Schizosaccharomyces pombe: one gene and its partners. The gene in region 1 interacts genetically with each later gene. Each region holds a gene or a part of one and is shown in the gene's direction. Other genes may lie near its edges.

Evidence for each region.
Region 2: mutations in nup40 (region 1) and nur1 together harm fitness more than expected from each alone (negative genetic interaction), as found in Schizosaccharomyces pombe (2 studies listed by BioGRID).
Region 3: of nup40 (region 1) and nup132, changing one enhances a phenotype caused by changing the other (phenotypic enhancement), as found in Schizosaccharomyces pombe (2 studies listed by BioGRID, with this or other methods).

The regions. Positions count from the first base shown.
Region 1 is NC_003424.3:1,350,271-1,356,334, reverse strand, and holds nup40 (nucleoporin Nup40), read left to right. Parts: upstream 1-2,601; 5' UTR 2,602-2,675; coding exon 2,676-2,911; intron 2,912-3,098; coding exon 3,099-3,978; 3' UTR 3,979-4,770; downstream 4,771-6,064. Other genes in the region: NIMA-like serine/threonine protein kinase Fin1, read right to left, coding at 1-1,577, 1,624-1,647, 1,916-1,975; cleavage and polyadenylation specificity factor complex subunit Rna14, read right to left, coding at 5,311-5,420, 5,464-6,064.
Region 2 is NC_003421.2:448,666-454,256, reverse strand, and holds nur1 (protein nur1), read left to right. Parts: upstream 1-2,493; 5' UTR 2,494-2,841; coding exon 2,842-3,792; 3' UTR 3,793-4,048; downstream 4,049-5,591. Other genes in the region: DNA repair protein Rhp42, read right to left, coding at 1-1,888; SPOM_SPCC4G3.12C (ubiquitin-protein ligase E3), read right to left, coding at 4,528-5,591. UniProt on the Schizosaccharomyces pombe protein: Has a role in meiosis.
Region 3 is NC_003424.3:2,774,242-2,782,048, forward strand, and holds nup132 (nucleoporin, WD repeat Nup132), read left to right. Parts: upstream 1-3,046; 5' UTR 3,047-3,129; coding exon 3,130-3,313; exon of another isoform or gene 3,314-3,369; intron 3,370-3,377; coding exon 3,378-6,682; 3' UTR 6,683-6,812; downstream 6,813-7,807. Other genes in the region: etf2 (electron transfer flavoprotein alpha subunit), read right to left, coding at 1-504, 577-687; tRNA 2'-O-methyltransferase Trm13, read right to left, coding at 1,099-1,842, 1,894-1,930, 2,010-2,335; serine/threonine protein kinase (CK1 family) Cki3, read left to right, coding at 7,175-7,309, 7,376-7,445, 7,506-7,654, 7,728-7,807. UniProt on the Schizosaccharomyces pombe protein: Functions as a component of the nuclear pore complex (NPC).

The DNA.
Region 1 (6,064 bases):
GTATCAGTCAACGTTGAATCAGTCGGGACGGATTCACCACTTGAAGCACTCACTGCCGTTTCATCGCTCTCTACGCTAAGTTTGCTAACTTTTCGATTTGGTAAACCTTCACCGTCTGAAAATTTATTACACAATTCAGAAGGGCTTAGCTTCTTTCCGTCCAAAGATGTGTGCAGCAACTTGTTCATGCAATCCGCCACTTGATTCGACGTGCCGTTTTTTTGCTGTAACGATGTAATTTGGCCATCTTTATCAATAGGTGTAGTCCTTAGAGATGACGCATTAGCTCTGTATTTCATTAATGTTGCAGTCGTATGTAAGGCTCTGCTTGATAATTCTTTACGGAGAGTAGGTCTTTTCAATATCGGTTGTTGTGTAGTTAGAGTGAAACCCGGACACGATAACGTTTGCAAGGGCTTGCTAATTCCTAACTTAGGAATATGAAGTAGGGGGGATTGTGATGCTTCAATTGTACAATCTACAAACATCTCAGCGGTACTGCTTTCAGGTTGTTCATTATGATCCACAGGACTTGTAACACGCATTTTCTGCATAGAGTTTACTACGGTTTGCATGTGTCTTTGATAACGAGCATCCATGTCACGCAGTTGCTTTTCCAACTCACGTCGCAATATCTCTTCACGTTGGGCTAAGCGAGAAGCTATAACGTTTTCGAGTTCACTTTCCCGAGCAGAAAGCCTTTGCTCGCGAAATTGGAGATCATTTTCCAATTGAATAAGCATCTGATGTTTTTTATGAAGCAAATCGCTTTGTTCCAAGACTACTCTCTCGGATTCCAATTTACTACGAATATCGGATAAAATAGGAGAGCGAAGTAGCTGGTAAGTAGTAGGTCTGAGGTCTGAATTAACTTCTAAGCAATGCCTGATTAGAAGGAAAACATCGTCGCTGTAATGATGATCCCAACAGGAGAGATTACCCTGGCAAATATTACGTTGCAATTCCAAATACGACCTTCCTTCAAAGGGATGCGTAAGCATGCAGATCTCAAAAATAACACAGCCAAGAGCCCAAACATCAGACTTCGCACTGTAAGGGCTGCTCCGAATTATTTCAGGAGACATATAGTATGGAGTTCCCACGTAACTCTGTGTGAAGACACGCGTATTGTCCAGCAATTTGGATAAACCAAAGTCTCCTAACTTAACTGAATTATTTTCATCAAGAAATATATTCGCAGGTTTGATATCTCGATGCAATACAGATTGTTTAGGATGAAAAATTTCTCTTGGCCACTGTGAGTCACAAGCAGGCGCATTTTCTCCATAATGGCAGCGATACAGAGCAAGTAGTAATTGCGTAAAAAATTTGAGAACCTCTTGCTCGGTAAATCTCTTTTTCTCTTCTTTATAACGTTGAATAAGATTGGCTAAATCACCATGACCACAATATTCCATATAAAGGTTTATTACCTGCGCAGAACGATTCAATTCTTCTCCGCAGTATTGAACAATATTTGGATGCTTAAGATTACGAAGAATATTCACTTCATCTGCGATGTACTGCTTTTCCTGCCGAGTAATGTTACCAAAGTGTATTTCCTTCTGAGCCAAAAGCTAAAAAGTATTAATAACTATAAAAATAAATTGCTTTCAAACTTACAGCACCATCCTTTAAGCGTTGAACCTATAATAGTTAGCATAATGCATAAAAAAGGAGTTGCAAAAAAAAATATCGATCAAAGTTTCAATTTGAAAAACTGTTTTGAATAGAGTACAAACAATAGCGAAAAGCATTTAAATCAATATAGTTTCCCTGTTTCTTAAGAAAACAATTGATTCAATGCTATAGATTCATTTGCCAACCACAAGTAGTTGCTCGCAAATAAACTGAAAACAAGAAAGAATTTTGCTATCCAATAACCAATTTCAGTGAAAATAAGATTAAAACTTACTTTATAAATCCTTCCAAAACTCCCATGTCCAATACACTCAAGAATCTTGTATTTTTCCATACTTCAGAACAGAAGTAGCCCATGAGATTCAGGTAAGCTTAAAATAAAACTAAATTTCTCGGTAGGACCTTTAAAGAAAAAGAAAAATTCTTCTATCAATTAATAATATAAAAAATACTGCTTGGAGTGATTGAGTGCTAAGTATATGAATTTCAAGCCAAGATGTTTATGTTTGGTTCTTCTGCAGTGTCTCGTTAAATCATCAAGTGTAAACAATGTTGCCATGGTTAGGAGTAACACTGTTACTTCAGGTGCTTATTGCTACGATTATAATATATATCCAGTCGCATTTTAATTTCTGTAAGAAAAAGATACGCTATTCAATAAGCAATGAGAAAAAGTTGTGGAGAATTTTTATCATCTATAATGCCTTTTATGACATGATTGTATAAGGTTTGTTGTAAATGAGCTTGGAATTTAACAGAGTCCTTTAAATCAAGTTTTAAAAAAATGAATAGCTAAACGTATTAATATTAGTTTGAGGCTTTCAAAAGATTTATCTGCATGTTTTATAAAAATCAATAGCATTAACAATAAACTGTTATTTTGCGTTAATTGGTTTTAGTGATCTACGCTAGGCTTCATGATTCATTCCATGCAAGCCATCTCCTTCAAATGAACTTACCGCTAATTTATATACGTTGCAAAACATATGTTACACAACAGTCTATCACAAGACTCTAGTAATATTGCCGGAAACATGTCTTTTGGGGGAAGTGGTTCTATCACGAATCGATCAACCTTAAAGCCACTTTCTGTCGATGATTTACGTTCGCCCTCTCCTCAAAAAGAATATCGTGGATTTCGAACATCTGTTTCTAACATTCCACAAGAAAAAAAATTTGTTCCCAGTCATCTTTCACACTTTGGATCAAGTCAGCAGCGTCGATTTGCCCCAGAGGTTAGCTCGCCTTTAGCAGAACCATATGAGTCATCGTAAGTAATTTCTTTGAAGAGTTTAAGGGACATTTGAAGACGGAGGATTAAAAAATTGTTTAGTATAATTGCTTTTTTACCTAATATCTATCTATATCCAAATTTGTTAGAGCTTCAGCCTAATCCCTATGAATTTTTAAATATTAGACATAAACTCTTAGAACCTTTACTAATTTTCTCTAAATAGCTCTTCCTTCCGTTTATCTCTCTCGAGTCCCCCTTCTTCAAAATTCGGCGGACCCAGCTTTGGTACACCGAAACCGTTTTTGCATACAAATCGTTTAGGTACCGGATCTTTAATTGAAGATGCTCCTCCTACTCAATCCATTTATGACTTTTCTTCCTCTAGGCAAATTAATGCTCTCAATGTTGGACAAAGTTCTTCCCCTTTTTCTCCTGTCTCTGAAAAGGTATACGACCCTTCTTTTACCATGTCTGGCGCTCCTCAAGATTCAAATACCTCCGTTATCGTTTTCGGTTTCCCACCAGAATTGACAAATCAAGTAATAGCTGAATTTTCTCGTTTTGGAACTATTATTAGCGAGAATTCATTAACTGCTTCAAGTGCCGGATTCACTCCCTCCAAGGGTCCCATATCTGGTAACTGGCTACAATTAACATATGCTGAGCCTTCTTCTGCTGCCAAAGCAGTTTTGTCTAACGGAATGTTGATAAATGACTCTTTTATGGTTGGATGTATATACAGCCCCGCAGAAGCGAAGGAGCATGTTCCGAAAACGTTAAGAAACAGCAATAAAGACTTGGAAATGACGGATGCCTCTTCCTCCGAAACCTCAATGTCTATTCCCGTGCATGCTGATGCCCATTTCCAATCCCAATCTGGTCTTGGTAAAAAAGTCATTGTTCAACACAAAAATGATATTTTTAAATCTTCTCAGAAACATCAACCTCGTAATTGGTTATTTCATTATTTATTTGGTTTTGGTTCAACTGAGCCAATAGATGAGGAAGAAAAATCTAAAACTGCTTCTGACAACACTTCGCTTCAAACTTCTCTATTTGGAAAAATTGTTCAAGTCGTATTGCACACATTGTTTGGGTTTTAAACTTGTTGCTCAATTAATTTGGATGTTATGATTGCCAAAACTTGGTTATTTAGTCGATCCTACAGACAAAAAGCTTGAAAGGTTTTCATATGTACAGTACATTTTTGGGTTATAATACTTTGTTATATGATTTGCTTTTGACAAGGTTTTTCGTTGGAATTCTCAAACATTATTGCTTTAATATATGAGGAATTTCTGAAGTGAATTTAATTACTTATTTTTTAAGGCCTTTCAGAATTAAGCGTACTTTTCATATCTGATTTGTTTCACGATTTTTACAATCGAAGTTTAACTTACGAATTTTTGTTACTTTGTTTTTAAAAATACTACGGACCAGTGGAACTTTCGAATAAAATACTTAAAAACACCTGTGATGAAATAGCGTTATGGCATTCAATCACTGTTTGTTACTACATAAAACGTTTACGCTTCAACCGTTAACAAGAAAGTTTCAACGGTTATAGTTGCTATATATATTATGCAAGTATTACTAACCTTGAAAAGATCAAGAACGAAAAACCGAACGTTACTTATGTGCTTTACTCTAATGGTTTTAAAATCAAATCAAAAAAATTGATAAATTATTTATGTTACAACATTGGAGTTCCTAATGATATGAATTTCTAATTTAAGAACATGAAGTTGCGGTCGAATACATTACAAAAAAGAAAAGAAAATTAGTATTATCACATAATTGCTTATATTAAATTACGGAAAACATCATGTTATCGATGGGTAGTTCCCAATAAATACTTTTCATATAATTTACAAGCTTCAAATAGAAAATTTAAGATAATAAGCGGATAGTTAACTTTGTACTCTGTGTCGAGTCAACTGTAATTTAAAAATTGATTTAACATAATTTTACTGTAGTTATGCTTCATGCACCACTTTAAATACGGTTAAGTTTAATATAAGAACGGTTACCATATTTAAATGCGAAATGCGATGAAGCTCAAACTTCATTCCTCACAAATTAAGAATAATTAGCAAAAAAGGAAATTTTAAAGTAAGGGTTCAGCGTCGATTAAAGTTTCTAATTATATTCAATACCAAAGTGAATTTTATGATTTGCGAAATCATTTTACATACTTGACCCAAAACCTCAAATCTAAATTCACATTGCTTTGCTCTTGTAACGATTAATATATTAAAAAAAAGATAAAATTGAGTAATACAATAAACTCGTCTTTAAAATATACCTATATCGTTTGGCGCTGTAATTTAACATCGATCATTCCTAAAACTTAATTTTATTTCATTATTAGTTCACTTTGCTCACCACCAAAAATGGAAAGAGTGCAGAAAATTTCTTTGCAATAGTCTAAATTTTTAATTAAATCTGGCACGCTTCAAATGTGCATTTGCATTTCGTAAACGAATGAAAGGGATATCTGATTTAATAATATGATCGATAAGTTTTGTTGGTTGGATTCGAGGACCTAAAAGATAGTTAGTCAATAAACGCGCAATTATGCAACATACCAGTTATTACTTGAGGAGCTGGGAGTTCATCCAAAAATTCGGTTATTATAGATGGTAACGGTACCGGAACAGTTGGAAGTGCTGAAGTAGGTGGATTCGATGCTCCTTGAGTGTTTGCTAATTCCAAAGACGCAGGAAGTAAACGAGTATCTTCCATTTCGACGTTACTTTTAGAAGAGGTAGAGGCTATAGAAACTTCATCATCTTCCCTGTTGTTATGAACATGGCCCGGGAATCCATTTCCTCCATTTAAGCGAACAGATAGTTCTCTAATTTTTTCCGCTTCTTTTGTTTCCCGTTCTTCTTCCTCAGCATCATCCTTCAAGCCATAGCGCGATAAAAATATGGCTTGTGTGGACTCTTGAGGGTAAACAACAGCCATTCTTTGACTAAGTGCTATAGCTGCATTCAAATCGCCATAATTACTTTCATAGTCAAGCCATTTTTGATATATGGGTTTAGCTTCATCAGCTGCAATCCTCGGGATGGCTTTCTCAAATAGCGCGCGAGCATTAGTTTCATCGTTTATAGCTATTAAGTATGACAAATATTTATAAACATAGGCTGGAACATCTCCAAAATGTCTCATACCCAACTCAAA
Region 2 (5,591 bases), on another chromosome or scaffold:
CTGTAGTAACTGGAATCGCACGATGTTTACGAAATTCAAACCCTGTAACTGCATCCGCATAATCAATGTTGAGTTTCTTGGCAATTTTAGCAATTCCTCGATATGGCAAATGTGCTGCGCCCTTGGGGATCATGCTCTCAACAAAACAATCCATATTACCATAACCGTTCTTAGGAATAATACCATCTTTGATTGGAGGCGGAACATATAGCTCAGTTTGATCGGAAGAATATAGACCCTGAAGCACTGGTTCATTTGTTTCAGCAACCCGAAATTCGTGTTCACGCTTCCTGCTAATTGTGACGGCTCTCGCCTTCACCATTTTTCGAGGTTGTTCTCCTTCCTTAATTACTCGTCCTTCTTTGTGATAATTTTCAGGCGTTTTGCATATGACCACATCTTTTCGGAGATACACTTCCTCAGAGGTAGCTTTCTTACCGTTACCAAAGGTTGCTGTCTTCACAGGCTTGGCGTTAGGAAGCAATGCTTCTTCTCTTCTAAGATGTCTAATCAATACAAATTCAGGATGATTCTTAAAATCTGCAAAGCTTTTAGGTTCGCGAATGGGCACTTTACTTTCCAGTTCTTTCTCTTCATATATATCCTCTGCATCTTTATTGCGCTTTGCTAGTTGCCCAAAAATAGCCTTATAAAAATCAAAATACTTATCTGCAAAAGAAACGTGTCGAATTTTCTTAAGCCTACTTGATTGGTAATCTGTATACCTCAAAGTTACATCTTTTGCGTATAAATCGTTATCATATGCAGCAACAATACCCATTCGTAGATGTTTTGACTCTGCATACGCTCCTTTGGGTTCAAACCAAGTCATATCGTTGGTATATACCCCATTCAAGACAACCGCATCTACCGCAATCCATTTCTTCTCACTTTGATCATAGATTTCCGTCCAAAAAATAGGATAGCGGAGGTCGTCATCTATAGATGTACTAGTTTCTTCAGGGAGGATATGTGGAGACCAATCATCATAGGAAGCAGTAGAAAATGTCAAAGGTTGAAGAGAAAATATAAGTCTTGCTTTCAGATTCAGAGATCGACAGAGAGCAGTAAATCCCTGTGCCGCCAAATCCCGGCTTCCTTTTAGCGAAAGTAAGGATGCTTGGTATTCATGAAAGTTATGAAATATTTCTGGCGAAAAGCCGATATCAAATCCTTGTTTCAAAGTACGATACCCCAACTTCCGAAGCCCATGACTCTCAATTTTAAAAGATTTATTCCACCACATCCGAAGCCCATTTAACAATTTTAACAAATCCTCGTGCGTCTGGCTACTACAAACCCACGCCTCCACTACGGACGGTTGCTTTTCGACAAGCAAATCGCGCAGCCCATCAAGAAGTAAGGAATTCATTAACCAGCGATTCCTTACTGACCCATGGTACAACAAGCAAGTAAAGTGCATAATGTGAATAGATAATCGAATGCTTTTATCCATTGCACTAGAAGAGCCTTTCTTCGATTCTTTTGTAAGTTGAGGAGTGATATGCTGTGTGACTATGTGTAAATCTTTTTTATCTTCTTGTTTATTAGGAGAAAGATCAACTTGTTCCCAAGTGTCAAAATCGTCGTCAAACTCGTCATCTTCTGAGCTGCCTAACTTCTCATTGTCTTCATCGGAACCTTTTTCGGATGAAGATGCGCTCCTTTGAAGTGAGTTTAACGCTGATATATTGTCATCTAAACTCTCAGAAGGAGGTTCCGCTGAGGAAGACAAACTTGGCTTTTTCGACTGGCTACGAGTTTGACGGTGAGTTGAAGATACAACAGTTTCCTCTTTCACTTCAGGATTAAGAGGTAAGTTATTGGTCCGTGTCCTACGTTTCCTTCCGCGAACAGAGTTCTTGGATGCTTTGCGTTTGGGTGGCATTGAGCAAAGAGTTTATGTGAATTGAATCAACTTTAGGATAATGCTTGTTTAACCGCTGGTTCAAATAATATCAATAACGATAAATTGAATAAAAAGTTGTAATCACAGCCACATCTGATATATTCTTAGTTAAAGAATTATTATTTCAAGCAATCTCTCCAACAAGAAAGCAAAATTCTAACAATGGCTGTGATGATGATTATTAAAAAGTCCTTTGAAAAAGAGGTCAGTATCAACTGCGCAAGAATGGCGAGTAGTTTGTTTGCTGAATATTATGAGCTATATTAACTACTTTTGATTTCAACCGTGAAATAAAGATTTAAAAAATTTAAATCTGAAACATAACATGAAAATAAATTATTAAATAAAAAGTTAAACCACATGCATCACTATTAATAAGAGACAATAAACATAAGTCAAAAAAAACTTCAGCCGTTAAATTTTAAGGAAATAATTCATTAATTAGTAAAACGTCAAACGAAACTGTTTAAATTTATGTCACTGATCGAGCTTATATTTCCTAAAAATAGGAATTTTAAATCGACGACTGATTTTGCACAGCAGTAGTAGTGGTAAAGTTGAAACCATCAATAACACCAATACTTAGGAACATCAACCTGCGAAAGCAAATTCTTTTTTTTTTCTTTTTTATTGCACACTTGTTTACGTACCGGATTTAAAAAGTTATCTTAATAAAAAACTTTTTATCCTTCATTGTTGCAATTGAAGTCGATAATAGCAAGCTCGACCTAGCTAATTAAAAAGCCTTTGCTACTCTAATTAATACGTAAGGTTTGAATCCTGAAACGGAGAAGTGCCCTAATTTCGTTCATTAGTATACGAATATCGGAATTTACCTTTCAGGTCCATGGTTTGTTTCATTTCTAATTCGGCGTTGTTTTATACTCAAAAAGTACACCTGAATTTCAAAACATTGCTTAAAAATCTTTTCAATGGGAAAGTTAATCCGTCGTACATCGCTGACTTCTAAAATAATCAATCTTCCGATCGATTACTTTATCTATGTTTGCGAACAATTTGACAGTGTAGAGTGGGATAAAGTATCAGATCGTTATTCGATTCCCTTTAGCTTGGCTGTCAATTTTATTTTTCTCTTAATGCGCATTTATATAAAAAGTACGCATGTACCAGTTCAACGCAACCAGCTCTTTGTGGATAAGCAGTCCATCAACACCTCTAGGTCCTGGTTTCGTGCCTTCCTATCATTTCTCTCAATTTGTTTTCTTTTCATCAGCTTTCTCAATTTCATATTTAGCACTCGATTTCAAAATAAGCTGTATAGAACTTTGCCTCAAGACAAACGCACGACGACTTCTACTCCCAATGTAAAACCAGTTTTCCAGCACTCAAATAATGATGATGGCGATGAACAAGTTTTTGAATTGAAAGTATGGAGCCCAAATCAATTTTTACTAAATTTTGCTTGCTTATTTTCTCCTGCTCATGCCTTGATTTTATGGTTTTATAGCACTTCTCTACGCGTGACTTTGTTGACTTTTCTCCTTTCGTTTACAACATTGCATTTTGTCAATAAATTTTCCTTACTGCTGAAAGATCAACAATATCTTCATCGCCAGGTATTCTTTGAGTATGATAAGAAATTTGTAGAACCTCGACTTTCGGTAGTTAAACGAGATGTTGCCATTAATACTACTCGTGGTCCCACAACCGCATCTATTGAATATTTCACACCCCGAAAACCCATAGATACCTTCCTTGAACACCGAAGTTCTTCACATGATCATCTCACTTCAACACCCCGTACCCCTATAGCGCTTCAAAGAAGAAGTGTTCATCATCTTCATGACAGCGGAATTAGTCGTGACAGCAGCTCACCATTTAAGAGATTTCCACATCTTAGTGATGGTAGTTCTCGCTTTTAATATTTGTCTGAATTACATGGTTTTTGAATGACCCACTGCATTTCCATTTATCATTGTTGTTTCTGTTAATTCCTATTTTCGAAAAGTTTTAAGTCATAACTCAATTCAGACCTGAAATAATTGTATTCATGAAGACTAATTAGGGTATCAAACACCGTCATTCTAAAAACTTTCGATGATCGACTTAGAACCAAATCCTTATAATTTAAGCTTATTCAATATGATCTCTTATTAAAATCCTTACATGATTATAAATATGAATACTCTTGTTTGTTAGAAAATATATTTAAAAGTGATAATGTGCATCAATTTTGTATCTAAACTAATATGTAAAAATCGAAGCAAAATTTCTAAAAGGAAAATAAATTATATTAAACGTGCAAACCGATTAACTAAAATGATTTTTAGAAAAAACTCAGCTTTGTAAAAAAGGCAATTGTTATTTCTAACAAAAGACGCACAACAAAACAATTCGTTTCCGTGCAGCAAGTAGAAAATTACAAAAATTTTATCAATAAGGTCATAAATGAGAAAAATGAGAAAGTCCCAAAGAGATAGTTGAACAAGGTCAAGCAGTTTTAGGTTATAGCAGCCATAAAAATGGGAAGAGCTATTATGTAGATTTCATTCACAAGCAAATAGTGCGAACAATTATTCAACAAATTTGACGGATGAAGGAAAATAAATGAGAGTGAACAAACATAGAATAAGGCCAGCTTTAATTTCAAGTCAAAATTAATTTTCCTCTTCAGCTTGTGTCGTAACCCCATGAGCCCGACATAACGGGCAGGAATTATTACCAGTGGTAAGCCACTGATCGATGCAGGCCTGATGGAAAAAATGTTTACAAGCCTGCAACTTGCGACATATGTCACCGTTAGTATAAGTTTCTAAACATATTAGACAAGAATCAGCACTAGAAAGTGAAGCATCATCGAAATATGCAAAAAGTCCGCCCGATCGTTTCACATCTTCATGAGAAGCGACTGGTTTCTTCGCTGGACCCAGGTATGTAGTAAGAGCCAACAAGTCTTCATACATGGGATTATCGCTAAACAAGCTAACTGTAGACAAAACTGGATGATGTTCTGGAAACAGACCACCAAACACATAGATAAGCCAATCACCATGGGTGCTATTAGAGAAAGTTCCCTCTGAATGCGTTTGAGTAACCATGTCGGCAGCCCCATTGGAAGCCAACGTACTAAAGTCGCTAGTATTATCATCAACAGAAAGTTGTTCCTCAAATCTATAGCTCCGTGCTAAGCTAGAACGTCTAGTTTGATTAGACAGTAAATCTCGATCAGACGGAAAATGATGGAGTCCTGTAGATAACCTTCCAGGCTGTGTGGAAAATGAGGAGGTATTATCGGTAGTCGGCTGATGAGTTTGTGACATCGAGAAATTGCCGGAGGCGTTCCTCGAAAAAACATTTGATTCAGAAGGCACTGTTGAAAACGGTCGTTGTGAATTGGAATTTGAACTATCCAATAATGAAGAAATGTAATCATCTCCAATGTGATTTTCTCCAGTTGAACCATTTACAGGTTCTTGAGCTCTTCTTAGTATACTTGAATTCCTTAAATCCACGGAAACAGTAGGTTGATTGTAGCGCGAAAACGAAGAAGTAGATTGATTACCCGAGTTGGACGTTGGAAACAAATTTCTGGAACCAGGAAAAAGATTTGCAGGGAAATCGGATACCGGCGTAAAAGCCTGGCTAAAGTCACTTCTTGTAGGTTCAGGATGTGAAAAAGTTGAATTGCTTCTCTCGAATGTAGGAGGAAGATCAGTGGAAA
Region 3 (7,807 bases), 1.4 Mb from region 1:
TAAAGGAGCCTTCCTTGCCTTCATAACTTTTGCCAAATTCGCGAATCTAGGAACATTAAGACGTAAATCGGTGGTAATAATGGCTGGAAGTGTACTACTTAAGGTTTCTTCACCGCCGTCAATTTCTCTTGTAACGATAACTTTGTCACCTTCAATACGGACTTTACTTGCGCTAGTGAATTGAGGCCATCCAAGCATAGCAGCCAGCATACCACCTGTTTGGTGTGCATCATCATCAATAGCTTGCTTGCCCAGCAAAACCAGATTACTTTTTTCCTTCTCGACTGTTGCCTTCAAAAGTTTGGCTACTGAAAGAGGTTCAAGTTCTTTTTCGCCAACATTTATAAGTGCTGCTCGGCCAATTCCTTTAGCAAGACACTGGCGAAGAATGGGCTCAGAAGAAGTTTGTCCTGCGGTCACTACTAAAGTGTCCTCAATTCTATTTTTCAAAGTTTCCTTCATCCTTATAGCCTCTTCTACAGCAATATCACAAAATGGATTAATCTTTTCACGATTAGTCAAATATAAATTGCGAATTACAGCAGTACTGAAATGATTACTCTCCTTTCAACATACACTCATTTTTTGCCCCGATAAATCAACAGCAGTCTTAGTGGCATTGATGCGAGGCTTTAACATATAGTCTAGAGTTCGCTTGACTCCTACTAAAATGCGAATTTTCGACATTTTTGCGATATTGCTATGCGGTGGTCAAAGACTGGAATTGAAGAAGGTAGAAAGTTGAATATGAAACCTTCATACATATTCCATATTATTTATTAATGTTGTTAATTTTATACTTTTTAAAAAAAATAGTTTTTATTATTTAAATATTGCACAATTTCCGAGTTTAACTAGTTAGGAAGTTTTTTAATTTTAAGTAAGAGGAAATAATGTCTATCAAAATTTACATATTCCAAACAATTCCAACTTCAAGAGAAATCATGATTGCTAAAAAAAAGTAAAATTTGCTTTAACTATCAGATTGCTATATGCAATCTCACACTTCAAAAAAGTACAAAATAATTCTAGTTTTTTTGAGTGCAATCTTTTCAAATTTAAAAAATTTTCTTACTTTTCTCACGTAAGGAAATTCACTTAGTTGATTCGTTTATAAGCGATGAGTGCAACATTTTCTAAAGTCGTTTCTTCACCAACGTAGTATACGAGAGAAGATTCATAACCCATTTTTTCGCATTCTAATTTTCTCATGTAATTGATAATATGCTTGCACTTCAACCCAATTTTTACGCGTTCCTCATGAGAAAGACCACTGATGTGTGAGTCGGCTCCTCCAGAAGCATGCATATGCTCACGCAAACTGTTTACAGCCCACCCAGTCATCTGTCGTAATATTTGAAACTCTTGTGGATTTGAAATTCCCCAATGACTTAATTGTTCTCTAGCAAAGGTTGAAAGTGTTCTCCATCGGCAATGATGATGACAACAAAGGGCAATTACAAGAGCATTAGGAGGGGAGGACTTTAAGCAATTCAAGGTAAGGTCTGTGGCAGCACCACATAAATGCTTAGAATATGCAAATACAGGTTTACCACTATTCCGAAATTCACTAGCAAAAAAATCGAGTTTCAAATCCTTAATATCAATTTTACACCTTATAATTTTTGGCTCAGGCCAGTTATTTTTGATGCTATCTTTTAATATCCTGCTATCATGCTTCGTTCGATTTGAATCACGATCAATAAGTATATATACGTTTTCTTGTTGGGAGCAGTGCTGAACATATCTTGATAACTCGGCTCTTCCAGCACCGAATTCGTAATATATAGATCCTTGGTTGTCAAAATAATGTAGTTTTTCCATATGTCCTAACAATGATGCCTAAAATGGTTAATGCTTTTGACTGCCGTTAAGAAATCATGTCGAACATACCTGCTGAATTGCATGCTTTTTTTTTGTACCCTCTTCACTGTTAAAAATGAAGTTAGTTTCTACTTTTGCAACCATCTTCTTAATAAAAAGCTAATGAGAAAGCACTTCGTACATACAGTCTTGCATTCATTGCCGGGTGAAACAACACCTTTTTTTGAGGAGTCGGTAAAGAATCACTAATTCTGTTGAACAAACAAATCCATTTTGACAACTCTTCCTTGCTTAAATCGACGATTTCAAAGGAGGAAGATTCTGAAGCATCTGTTGAAGTAGAGATATTTATGTCCTTCTTGTAATATGGATCGGTCCTTTCAACAGGACGCGCGTTACAACGCTTCAAATGATATTCTAAACGATGTCGCACAATTGTATGCTTGTGATCATATGGACAGGGGATTTGTTTTAATTCTTCCTGAGTAAAAATTTTTTTTATTCGTGCCATCAAGTTAGATAACTTTTTAACTCTTAAGTGATATTAGCCTGAATATTGATCACAAAAGTAAATCTTAAAATACAATAATTTTATTTTTCTTGTAAAATTTGGTCTTTTTCAGTCCTTCGGATAATTTACAACACTAATGAAAAATAGCTTTCCGATTCGGCAGTTCAGACACTTCAAAATAAAGTATTTTCGCGTTTTTCTCTTTATTACAGTTGTTTCCAACCCAGTCCCAAACTTTCTACTACTTTTATAGTTTTCTGTACCAGATGTGCGATTTTACGAAGAAATCTGATGTTTCCAACCATTGGCGTGCTCATAAAAAAAATTCAAATACGGAATCATGAAACATTTATATAAATTGATCATGCGTTCTAAAAAAGTAGTTTAAGCTTGACCTTGAAGAACGCAACTACTTTTTAAAAACCTCTGTTTTATACAACATTCCGGGAAAAGACAATATCCTAAGTATCACTTCCTTAAATATACCAAAGCAAAGAAATAATTAATTACAAAAGAGCAAACTGTGTTGACATTTGTGAAAAAAGTGTATATGACATATACACCGATTTTGAAATATTGATATATTGATTTTACTCTGAATTTCTTATCAGTAGCTTAACTATTTAATTCTGAGTAAAAAATAGGAGTCTAAGTAAAGTTCTTTTGATTTCAAACCCTTCTTTGTAGGAATCGTCGACATTCGTCCTTCTCAGAGCCATATTCTATCCCTAAGGGTATTAAGGAGTCAAATAGACGATAACCGCCAGTATCAGTACTGATATCGTCAAATAGTCATGAGTTCTATCCTTGGTAAAAGGAAAAATGAAGAAGTCGTATCTTTTAGCCCTTTGAAACGAATTTCTGTTGAGAAATCGCTTTTGGATAGCACTGCCTATAATAATTCATTGGATTGGCTCAGATCTAAAAATTTCAAGGTCTCGTGTCTACTTAAACATTTTAATTCTAAAATTATCAACGGTACGAAGCTTTTATTTCTTCACTGTGCGCATTACTAGGTAACTAACATCTCTATTCAATTTAGACCATCCTTTAAGTGGATCATGCTACACAGACATCGGTTATGCATTAATTAATTCCCGAAAAGCTTGCTTTATTTTGTCGTATCGTCAAAGCTTGGGAACAGCAGAACCTCCAACTATAACATTTCCGCTACCTGAAGAGGACTCAAATGGCTTTTCCGGGCAAAATGCCTTGACAGCCTTCGTCCCTTCTGATGCTTCTGACAAAGAACCTGGATTGCTGATTGTAATGCCTATCTCTGGTCGTATAGCATATTGGACTTCAATTGGGAATGCTCTCGCTCAATCTTATATATGTCCCCAGGGAATGGAAAGTTTGATAAAGTTACTCCCCAAAGAAAAATGTGAGCATTTATGTTGCTCAAACCCCATGAAGTTCATCATATCTACCAATTTTGGTCGTCTTTTTTCTGTTCAACTGCGCGATCCTGCAGGTCAACCTGACGTTTCTGTACAATTATTTGCTTCCGATATTAGTACTTTTTCTACTATTCTTCAGAAAATGAAGATTTTTAACTACCCTAGCATTCATATCATTGCTTTAAAATCCCCACCACTGTTCTCTCCATACCAACATCTTTTGTATGTCGCTGAGGCATCTGGTTTACTAGAGATATATGATTTGAAGTTGGAAAATAAGCTTGTTTCTGGTATGAATCTGTCTCCTATTTTTAAGCAGGTTTTGAGAGAAGGATGCCCCGATGCAAGCGGACTTGAGGTGTTAGACCTTACTATATGCCCCACAAACGGAAATCTAGTGAGTTTTTTAGTATGTTGGAAAAATTCTATTAATTACCGTTACATGATTATTTCTCTTGATTTTTCTGACATTTCCTCACCCTCGGTAATGAATATTCATCCATTGTATTCATTTTCTTCTAAATCTCTTGAGTCTTCAAAGCTACATTATTCATCATCAGGGAATTCTTTATTTGTGGTTTTAACAGACGCTGTTATTATAGTGCACGTCCAAGAGGATGATAAAGATATTGTATCGAGAACATCATGGGAAGAGGTTATTCGTATGAATACTAATGTCTCTGGCGGCATATTTATGTCTACTTGCTACAAATACGTTTTAGGAAAATACTCTATTCCTACGGAATCATGTTTTATAGCAACCCCTTATTCTGGTATCGCTGAAATAGAAGTTCATAGTTTGGAGCATCCTGCAAATAACGAATCTCTCGTAAAAAGCAAGTTGGAAGAAGCTGTTTTTTACTCCTTCCTTCCTGGTAATCCGATCGATTTTTCCTGCAATTACCTTCGCTCCATCAAAAAGCCTGAACTCGAAAGGATTATTGTCGATCTTGGAATGGACATCTTGAATTCAAGGTCTACTCATTTACCCCCATTATTTGCTTCTTTAATGCAGCATCTGTCCTGTAGGTTAAATTCTTTGAATAATCTTGTCCGGTATATTAGGTCTATGTCACTGGATGTTGATCGTCAAGTACTATACAAGTTGAGAGTAATGGGCGAAAAATGCAATTCTGTTAGATATTTATGGAATACTATCGATACTGAATTTAGTACTGTTAGTCATTCCCTAATTTTTCAACGCATAATTTATAGACTCACTCAAAGTGCTTCGTCGGATAACGCTTTGAGAGAGTGGTTTTTGCATAATATTGAAAGCATTGATCAACTGATAGCGCAAGCACATGAATTTTGCATAGATTCAGGTTCTCGAGTTCAAGAACTTCCATTGGAAGTTCTTGATGTAATTATGGAAGCTAATGAAGTAATTCTGGCAATTCAATCTTCGGCTTTGGCTTATCGCCGTGAGTCCCAGAAGATTTATAAGCTAAGTATTGATACCTTTGGAGAAGAGGTTCCTTGGACGTCAACGCCAGAAACTTTAGTTTTGCTGTGTCGACAGTTTGAACTTACTCGGTCAGCGCTTGTCCAGTCACATCAAGGAACCTCGGATGTGGAGAATACTTTTAAAATAAAGGATAAAGGGGTGCTAAGAAATGTCGTTTCAAATTTAGAAGTACAATTAGTGGCCTTGACAGAGGTTTGCTTTGACGCGTACTCAGAAAGGATTAGATGGATAGAACAACGTTGTGGTAAGGATGCTAGTGAAATTCAAGATGTCAAGGAAGCTTTTGCAGTTAATCGCAGATTTTGGGTTCAAACTTTATCAGATATAGGTAAAGGCAGCAGTGCCATTCGAATCGCTGAAAAATACTCAGACTATCGTTCTTTAGTAGAATTGTGCTATCAACTTTATGAGGACAATGAGCTCACGGATGCACTAAACAATTACCTTGATCTTTTTGGTATAAAATTCGCATTTATATTATATGACTATTTTGTTGAAAATGGCATGGCATTAGAGTTGCTTAATAGCGACAGGTTCAACAAATCTTATTTGAAACAATTTTTTAAATCTCGAGATTACAACCAGATTTCATGGATGCATGATATGAGGTTAGGAGACTACGATGCTGCGTCGCATAGATTGCTACAGTTGGCTACTAAACAAGAAAAGCTGGTTGATAAAAAGGAATCTGAGCTTTCATTAAGTAAATTATTTCTTTATGCAGTTCCATCCAACTCTGGAAATATCAGAGATTTGGTTTTAGTGGAACAAAAGCTTGAGCAACTACATATTCAAAAAATGGTTTCCAAAAGTGTTATGCCAGTCGTTGAACGGCTTCGTTCTCAGGGGAAAAAATACCAGCTTGTAGAAGCTGTTGTGGATGATTTGATTGGTGCCAAGGTAGCGCCTGTTATCGCTCGTCAGGTTATGCAGCGCGTAGTCAAAAAGTTCATTGCCGGACAGGTGGTTGAAGCAACTGAACTGTTGGAGTACCTCAGCTTTTCTTTATACCGTCGAGAGGACCTTGTAGAAGGTGAAGTTACCGACTATTATCTTGCTTTGCGTCTTCTTTTAACCACCAGATTAACGGACGATGCCAAGAGATTTTATGAAAATACCATTTGGAGACGAGCTGTTTTACATGACAACTGGATCCAAGTTTTGGATACCCAGGGTAAAAACGATGCAATTATAGAAACCCAATTCCGAATGTCAGCACTATATCGGACTCTAGAGGCTGTGACCATAAACGGACTTTTTCATGAAGGACTTATCCGACCTGGTTCGCTTTCTTCTTGTAAGTTTGAAGGATATGATCCTCAAAATCTCATTTCTATTTACCCACCCGCTCGCTTTGGAGATGTGACTGAAGTTACCAAAGTACTTAATCGTGAAAGCGTAAAGTTGGATCATTATCTTACAAAAACTAATTTAAATACTTGCTATATTAGTATGTGTTTAAGTTGCGATACGATTTAACCTTTATCTTAATCATACAAACCCATTAGATAATAAAAGAATTTTGGTTAGATAGGTTTCATCCGAGTCCCTTGATCATTGTCAATTTTGTTAGCTAATGAATCTAAAATAAAATTTTGTTTACCACTAACTCAAACTAGAAAGTATACCATTATATCTATTTTCAGCTTTCCAACCTTATACTACGCTAGCTTGGTATATCGGTGGAAAACCCAGTACTGCTTACTTGTCCACTACCAAGTACAGTGTTGGCTGCCTCGGATTCCTCTGAGGTTGTCAACTGTAAACGAAATAATTGAACTGTCACTTTCTTTGTGTTTTTCATGGAATCTTTGTGGATTTTAGCGGCATCTACTTCATTTTTCTACCCGTAACCATCTTTAACTTTCGAGTGCGAAAGACATCAACATTTAACAAACCGGAACGCTCTTTTAATCAAAAACATTTTAAAGAAAACTGCATTTAACATAGTGGAATATTTAAAAGACCATCATGTCAACTACTTCGTCTCACTCCAACGTCGTTGGTGTTCATTACCGCGTTGGTAAAAAGATTGGAGAAGGATCTTTTGGCATGTTATTTCAAGGTGTAAATTTAATCAATAATCAGCCAATTGCCCTAAAATTTGTATGTAATTATTTTTAGAGAGCAATCCAGATTCTCAATTTCAGTACTAACGTTGCATTCTCACAGGAGTCCAGAAAAAGCGAGGTTCCTCAACTTCGTGATGAATACCTTACTTATAAGCTACTAATGGGTTTGCGTAAGTATTCACTATGGTTGCTATACTGATTTTCGTCAATTTCCTAACATTTATCCCTAGCTGGAATTCCGAGCGTGTATTATTACGGTCAAGAAGGCATGTACAACCTTTTGGTCATGGATCTTCTAGGACCTAGTTTAGAGGACCTTTTTGATTATTGTGGCAGACGTTTTAGTCCTAAAACCGTTGCCATGATTGCAAAACAAATGGTAAGTTTGTAAACGTCTATCCGATTGTTGTCGGATTGGCTTTATGTGATTACATTTTAACAGGGTTAATCAGATCACCCGTATTCAATCTGTTCATGAGAGACATTTTATTTATCGTGACATTAAACCAGATAATTTTTTAATCGGGTTCCC